2 linked regions of the Tamandua tetradactyla genome follow. The protein of the gene in region 2 binds, or shares a complex with, the protein of the main gene of each other region. Links are inferred from orthologs where the notes say so. Each region holds a gene or a part of one and is shown on either strand. Other genes may lie near its edges.

Region 1 (3,746 bases), on a different chromosome or scaffold from region 2:
TGTGTCTGATGCTCCTTTTATCTACCTTATCAACAGACAAGTTAAACATAGGGAATAAAAATAAATAATAGGGGGAACTAATGTTAAAAGAAATTTAGATTGAAATGCTAGTGATTAATGAAAGGGAGGGATAACGGGTATGGTATGTATGAATTTTTTTCTGTTGTCCTTCTTTTTCTGAATTGATGCAAATGTTCTAAGAAATGATCATGATGATGAATATGCAACTATGTGATGATATTGTGAATTACTGGTTATATATGTAGAACGGAATGATCATAAGTTAAAAAAAAAAAAACAGAAGAAGAATAACACCCAGGTAACCTTGACCCAGTAGTTCCACTTCTAAGAATTTACCCACAGATCTACTTGCACAATGTGCAGAAAGAAGGGTGGCCTCTCTCCCCCTGGTCCGTCACAGGCTGGGTCCTCCACCCTCAGTCAGTTGGAGCATCCTGTACTCATGTGGAATATTATTCCACATGCTATGACAAGTGAAACCGTGCGAGCTTTATAACCAGCTCGCCCCTCAACCACCGTGCTCTGCTTCTACCTCACTCAGACAGTGTCCTCTCCAGCCCCGGTGAGACAGGCCTGCTGACCTCAGGGGCCGCGGGAGAAACCCACTTGGTCGGCTACAGATTCCCTCTAACATGCGTTTAGCCAGAGTGGCTCACCCCCGAAGGTCAGGCCCCTCTCCACCGCCATTCACAGGCCCAGGCACCCGCCCTTAATTGTTGGTGACCCCTCTATCCCGGAAGTGCGAGGCCAGGTCACCTGCGGGTCCGAGGGGCCGGTTCAGTCCTCGGCGGGGCAGGAGCTACTTCACACCTATCTCAGCTCCCGCTTCTGTCAGTTGGAAACAGTCTCCGCGCCTCGCACGCCCGCGCCCCCAAAACCGGCCCAAGCCGGCTGCAGCTTGGTTTTCTCTTCCTCTTTTCTTCCCTCCTTAGGGGACAGAGGCCGGGCAGGGCCGCCAAGCACGGGGACCGCGGCCGTGACCCCGACCCCGCGGCCCTGACCCCGACCCCGCGGCCCGCCACCTGCGGTCGGTGGGCGGGGCCGGAAGGGGGCGGGGCGCGGGCGGGGCCGGCGGGGGCGGGGCGGGGGCGGGGCCGGCGGGGGCGGGGCGAGGGCGGGGCCGGCGGGGGGCGGAGCGCGGAGACGGGACCGGCGGGGGGCGGAGCGCGGAGACGGGACCGGCGGGGGTGATGGCCCGGGCTGTCGCCACCGCTGCCGCCACCGCCTCAGCAGCAGGAACCGAAGTCGTCGTCGCCGCCGCCGCCTGGATCGCCCGCTGCCCGCGCGCTGGCTCGGTCGGGCCCCGCAGCTATGGAGGAATTTATCGTGATCTCGGACGACAGCGGCTCCGAGAGCCCCGGAGGGGCCCGGTCGAGCCGGGCGCGGAGGCTCCGCCGGGCCCCATCCCGGACCCCCAGCGCGGTGCCCCGGCGGACCGTGGTGAGTGAGCGAGCCGCCGCTAGCCCAGCCCCCCACGGCCGCGGCGCCGCCTCCCCTCGCTCGGGCCGCGCTTCGCCGCCGCCCTCGGCGGGGCCCGCCGCCCCCTGGCGCCTCACAGCTGCAGCCTCTTCCCGCCTTGCGGCTGGCCCGGCCTCTCCTGCCTGACGAGCGTGGCAGAGCCGAGCCGGGGTGCCCGGGCCTCCGGGGGCTCAGCGCTCAACCCCGAGCACATGGACGGTCCCCCGGCGCGTCTGGGGTGGGGGGTGCCAGAGCCCGCAGCCAGCGACGGCCTCAGGCGGGGGCCGCCGGCGCCCCCGAGCCTTGGCGTGGGAAGGGGCCGAGGGTCCTGGCCGGCGGACAGCCCCGACCCGGACCGGGAGGAGGGAAGCGGCAGCGTGTAATTGTTTGGCTTGGGGGTACAGATTTGTGCAGGGACGTAACTGGAGCCGTGCCTGGGAGGGAGGGAAGCGCGGGCCTGGGCCAGATGGTGGCGGCACTCCAGGGCCTGGCTGCTGAGCAAGGGGCCCGATTTTGGAGTCGTGCGGGACGGTGATTTATTTCGCTTAGGAAACGTTTGTCGTGTACCAAGCACCGAGGGGCTAGGGAATAAACATATTGCACTATTTGCAGTTCCCTTAGGCCACCTTCATCTTGGTCTTCTTCCTGGGATTGGGGAATAAAACATCCCAGGTCCCTGCCCTTCCAGAAGACTCCGTAGCTATTTATTGAACCCCTGCTATGGGCCACCCGTCGTTCCAGGGGCTGGGCACGTAATGGAGAACACAACATCCACGGTCCCTAATAGAGTTGTAGATGTGATTATCAAGCACCTACTTAGTGGGGATGGGGGAGGCAGGCTTTCTCTCGGGAGACTCAACAGCAGACCTCCTTCTGATCATCTACCCAGTCCCCCAGAGCCACACCCCAGAAATAAGAATAAAAGAGCTGTCAGGCAGATGTTATTTGTATAGCTCTGGAACATACAGTTTAAGGAAAACAGTGCATTTCCCATGCAGACACTCCTTCAAGACAAATCTCTTAGCTATGCTTTCCCAGTTTCCTTTTCAGCAAGTTTACAGCCCTGAAGCTTCCACTATGAGCCCCTAGAATTTCTGAGGTACAGTACTAAGCACCAGGTGATCACTAGCGAATGAATAACATGCAAGACCAGTTAACCCACCGTGTTATGTTGCCATGGTTCAAGCAAAAGGCGTTCTCAGTAAATCTCAGTTAAAAAAAAAAATTAGTTGAATCCGCCATCTGAGGAGATGGACAGATACAAGGGATTTTCAAGGTAGAAGTGACCCACCTTGGAGGGTGAATGGATATATCCAGTGCTGTGGCAGATGAGAGATTCATAATAAGTATTTGTTAGATGAAAGAATGATTGAAGGATGGGGGGAAGAGAGCAATTCAGATGAGTTTTTGGCAAATAAGAGCTAGTTCAAGAGCAGGCTTGAGGTGGAGAGGATCCTGAATTCTCTTTGGATCTTCTGGATTTTAAGGACTAGTGGGAAATTAGGTGGATGCCACCGGTCAGAAGTCAAACAGTTGGGAATGGAACTCTGCAGGAAAGTTAGGGCTGGAGAGACTTGGCAGTCATCCAAATAGAGATGTTCCCTGAAGGGCTAAGAGGGTTGAGATCATCAAGGAAAAGAGGATATGTAGCGAAAAGGTGGGAGGAAAACCTGTGGAGTAACTCAACTACAGTTCCCTCTAGTTCTCCTCTTTCCCCCTTCTGAGTCCCCCTTTCACTTTGTCCTTCTTCCTACCTGCTTCCTTTTCTCCCTCCCAGATGTCATCCATATTCCCTTATCCTGGTCCGCTTGCTTCTTCAATACACAGATGCCACCCCGTTCCAGTCTCCTGTGGCCCCTCGCACTCATACGTGGGTGCACTCTCTCACTGCTCCCCTCCCCCATGGCTACCCCAACCAAGCATTTTGACCTTGAGCTTTTTGAGTTGAAGAGGGATGAAGGTCAAGTTCCCAACTTAAATTTTGCTTCTCTAGCTCTTTAAAAACTCCAAGCTTTGTTCTCTTTTTTTTCTTTCTTGCCAATTAGGTAAGGGTGGTAGGAAAACTATGTGAAAAATCAGAGGCACAAAGATATTTGCCAAGGTTATAAAGCCTAACGCGCTTTTGTCTAGCTTTCCCTAAAGGTTCTGAGGTCCAAGAGACTTTTTTTCCAAGTGAAATCCCCTAACATAGCAGCTATATGAGCTTTCGCAGATTCTGTCACTTCTCTTAGCTTTTGAGCCTGGCAGGAGTGTTAATAGGGTTTTAA
Region 2 (3,746 bases):
TTAGGGATATTTAATTTCTTACTGTCAAATTCTTAATTAGAAATATTCTTAAATATCCTAAAGATAGTTACAAAAATAACATATTACCTTGGAAAAACATAAATATAACAGAGAGAAGGAAGTTAACTAGTAAGTAAAGGGTAATAAAAACCAAATTGCTTTAATCTTTAAGGATTTCCATACCCTAAAGTGGGCACAAAGCAAGAAAAGACCATATTATCAGAATTTGTATTCTGATTTGTGTCACAAAAGGAAATGTTATTATATGCAAAGCAAAAAAAAAATTAACTTCCTGGTAAATTATGCTCGTGCTAATTTTACCTGAAAGAAGATAAGCAGTAGACTAGAGGATTCCCTAAACATTCATCCAGTATGAAATTGGAATGTGCAGGAAAAACGTAAAAGTCCAAGTCCCTTGAGGGTTTAGCTTCTACATTAGAAGAATGCAGAAGTCCACATTAGAAGGGTAATGGTTAACTAAGAATCCAAAATGTTTGTAGAAATGCTAAGTGGTTATGAAATGAATATGAATGTCAGGCTAAGGAAGAATCTGTGCATTTGCTCACAAAAAATAAATTATATTGGGGGCGAGCCACAGTGGCTCAGCAGGCAGACTTCTTGCCTGCCATGCCGGAGACCCGGGTTTGATTCCCGGTACCTACCCATGCAAAAAAATAAATAAAAAAAAAAAATTATATCAGGCAAATGAACTCTACTAGAGAGTAAAGGAAGAAATGCTAGAGGCCTGCAGAGGGGTGAAGGATGAGCCTTTGGTTACTGGTTGAAGAAAAAGAGATGGGAAAGGTCAGCGAAGCAGTTAATTCAAAGCAAGATAATGGTGAAGGTTTTTATATTAATTTTAAATAACTTTTTCCAAAATAGTGGATTTCAGTTCCTTTTTGAAGGATTACAGAGTTTTGGGTGACACATACAAGAAATTCTGTAAAATAACCATGAATGTAACTTTCAAGAAGGAATAGTTTCCTAACTTCATATGCACAGAAATGCCCACTAATTACTTATAACTAATTCTTAAAAACACAAATAGCCAACATTCACAATAGCTTCAAAAACCCTTATCGAAACTTTTGGGACCAAATATGTTTTAGAATTCTGAATTTATCACATTTTACAAAGGGCTTACTTTGGATGTATTATGTAAAGCCCCCAATAGGGTGTGGGGCTGTACCCCACAATCAAACATTAGTATTTCTCCAGCAAAACTTATGACTATTCACACTTGATAGAGACCATAAACGGCTATATATTAGCTCTGGTCAAGTTTGGCTGCTCAATGAGATTTGGTGCTAAATCTACTGAAAAGCTTTGGTTTTCATAGTTTTTTAGCTTCCGAATTAAGATAAGGGATTATGGACCTGTACTGCGATATTAGAACATAATTCTGTTAAACTTCTGCTATGAGATTTTTAAGCTTAAAATAAAAAAGACAGTACCAAGTGCGTATAGAATTTAAACATGTTTTATTTAGGAAGTCATTTGATAAAACTCTCCATAGCTCTCAGAAAGTTGGTCTAGGAAATCTTCACAAAAAAATTGGCCTCTGGGGAGGTGTAAAGTTACTGAAAAAGAAAACACATCACATTCCAAACCTGCATGTTCTTTTAAGTATGATTTACCGTGTATACTGGACTATAACGTAATTCATGGACAGATTACCCTCATTACATCTTACATAACTTCACCCACACTACAGAAAAGGTTTATAGTGTTAAACCACAGGGATCAGGAACTTACAATGTAGAAAAAACAAGTAAATAATGTATTAAGCGGGTAGGGCCTCGGGCCAAGCTATCTTAAAGGATAAAAATCACATTCTACCTAAGGCGGATTCCCCGTAGCCACGCAGGCTTATAACCACTAGACCAAGAACTGCTTCCCAACTACAGAAAAAGAAACTCGCACTCCCAGAAACCCCCGCGCGGAGGCGGGGCGGGGTTTTTTGCCAGGCTCCGAAATGCCGAGGCCTGAGATCGCGGAGGATGGCGGGAACTGGAAAAGTGGTCGGCCGCTGTCCTCCCCTCAAACCCTTGTCCCCGCGACCCGGCCCCTTCTCATGCCCTCTGCACGGTACCTGTCCCCAGGTCTCTCTGTTCTCTTTCCCGCTGCAGCAGAGACGGTACTACCGGGTCTCAGATGGCAGCGCGGGGGCGACGACCCCGGGGCTGGGGATGAGGGGAAACCTGGCCTAGCGAGCATGCAGCGCCTTGTCATGTCGGCGCCGCAGGCGACGGCGGCATGAGCTGTGGCTGGAGAAGTTGGATGCGTGGCTGCCGTCTTGCTGCTGGATCTTGGGGAGGCTGTCGGAGCAGAGGTGGGCGGCACCCCCTTCTCTCTTCATGGCGGGTCTCTCTCTTCGGAAGTGACTCGCGTGTGAGCGGGAAGGAACCTGAAGACCAAGATGGGCGGGTCTTACTCCAGGCGTCGCATCTTCATTGGCTGGCACGGCAGCCATTCCGGTAGTGGCGCAAAAGAAAGCCGCATCTTTCAGGGGAAGGCGGAGTTTCTGGAAGGAGGAGGGGAGGAGGAAAACTGCCCCTTCCCATCCCGTCACGTGCATGGGGGCGCGCGGGGCAGCGTTTGGGCCGCGTCGGCTTCAGCTGTGAGCCGGGGTGGGGAGGCTCGGGTGGCCGCGGGCTCTGCAGCAGCCGGCGACACCCGCCTGGTGGAGGGCGGAGGGCGAGGATTGCAGAGGCAAACCCGAGCCGGGCAGCTGTCGTCTGTGAAAGATGGCCAACAGTTGGTCTTCCTGTGCCACACAATTGTGCATTAGAAACCCCCAACTGTTCATTATCTCGCCTCTTTAGCATTTTAGGCCAGGGTGCCCTAATGCTGTCAGCCTTTCCTTCGTAGTGTGCAGTCCAATCTGAAGACTTGCCCATTCTGAGAGCGTACTTGTTAAGTGTTTGTGATACGATACGTCCCTTACCCCCCTCTCTTATTAAGAAGGGGGGAAAATCATTGAAAAAAAAAGACAGTATTCCACAAAAACATTTTGAGTTTCGGCTGCTGAAATGAGTTATCCATGAAGTCTTTACAGCCGTCTTCCTTGGGGTCTTTGAAAAGAACATGATGTCACTCTTCACTTATTCAGGTTATGTGTAGACAGCATTTATTAGCAAAAGCTGCCAAGTCTCCGATCCTCCTTTGTAAAGGGCTTGTGCTTTGGAGGCTGCTAGCTAAGGTTTTCCTTACTAGCTAAGAGATTGCTAAGATTATTTCGCAGCCTCAGTTTCCATATCTATAATAAAATGGGTTTAATACTCACTTGTCTGGGTAATTGTAAGCCATAAAAAGAGATAAGGGATGTGAACTGCTCATTCGAATTTCTCATGTAATGGATACTCATGAAATTATAGTTCCCCTTCGTTTGGTTTCTAGACAGGCTCTTACACTGAGTTTAACTTCCTACAAAAACTTTCAGAGACAGGTCAAATATTGTTATAATAGTTATTACAACTAGAATATCAATCTCAAGGATACCCGAGCTCTAGTTGACAGGCTTGTTCAATCATTTGGATGGTATGAAATCTTAAATGACTCAAAAGCATTTGGACAGGTCCTTAAAGTTTATTGCTCTGAGATTTAACTGCGTTTGTAGCTAGGCATGCCTGACTGACCTGAAATTCACCTCTTTCCCTTCCCCATAAGCTCTCAGGAGGCAGAACTAATGAGTAGTAAAGTGACCAAGAGGCTGACCAAGTGGAGGATGGAAGGTGAACTGAATA

What was found.
Region 1: the proteins of SLF2 (region 2) and SIMC1 are in contact, whole or in part, in a cryo-EM structure (PDB 7T5P), measured with the Homo sapiens proteins. The link is inferred for Tamandua tetradactyla from reciprocal best matches to the Homo sapiens genes SLF2 and SIMC1. Residues at the interface, in NP_060591.3 of Homo sapiens: His738, Val772, Leu775, Lys778, Asp783, Phe786, Gln790, Gly791, Phe792, Thr794, Ser795, Ala796, Tyr797, His798, Tyr799, Cys820, Ile821, Gln825, Ser828, Met831, Glu832, Ile835, Arg836, Asp838, Thr839, Ser841, Asp842, Ser843, Pro847, Lys919; in NP_001295125.1 of Homo sapiens: Tyr426, Arg428, Leu431, Lys435, Leu438, Pro440, Val442, His443, His444, Leu445, Phe447, Gln448, Arg470, Arg471, Phe490, Asp493, Pro497, Val521, Asp522, Lys525, Glu526, Tyr528, Met529, Met532, Lys533, Gln536, Leu537, Arg571, Asn658, Gln661.

The regions. Positions count from the first base shown.
Region 1 is NC_135346.1:57,621,362-57,625,107, forward strand, and holds the start of SIMC1 (SUMO-interacting motif-containing protein 1), read left to right. Parts: upstream 1-1,194; 5' UTR 1,195-1,332; coding exon 1,333-1,461; intron 1,462-3,746.
Region 2 is NC_135339.1:62,477,272-62,481,017, reverse strand, and holds the start of SLF2 (SMC5-SMC6 complex localization factor protein 2), read right to left. Parts: upstream 2,413-3,746; 5' UTR 2,233-2,412; coding exon 2,093-2,232; intron 1-2,092. UniProt on the Homo sapiens protein: Plays a role in the DNA damage response (DDR) pathway by regulating postreplication repair of UV-damaged DNA and genomic stability maintenance.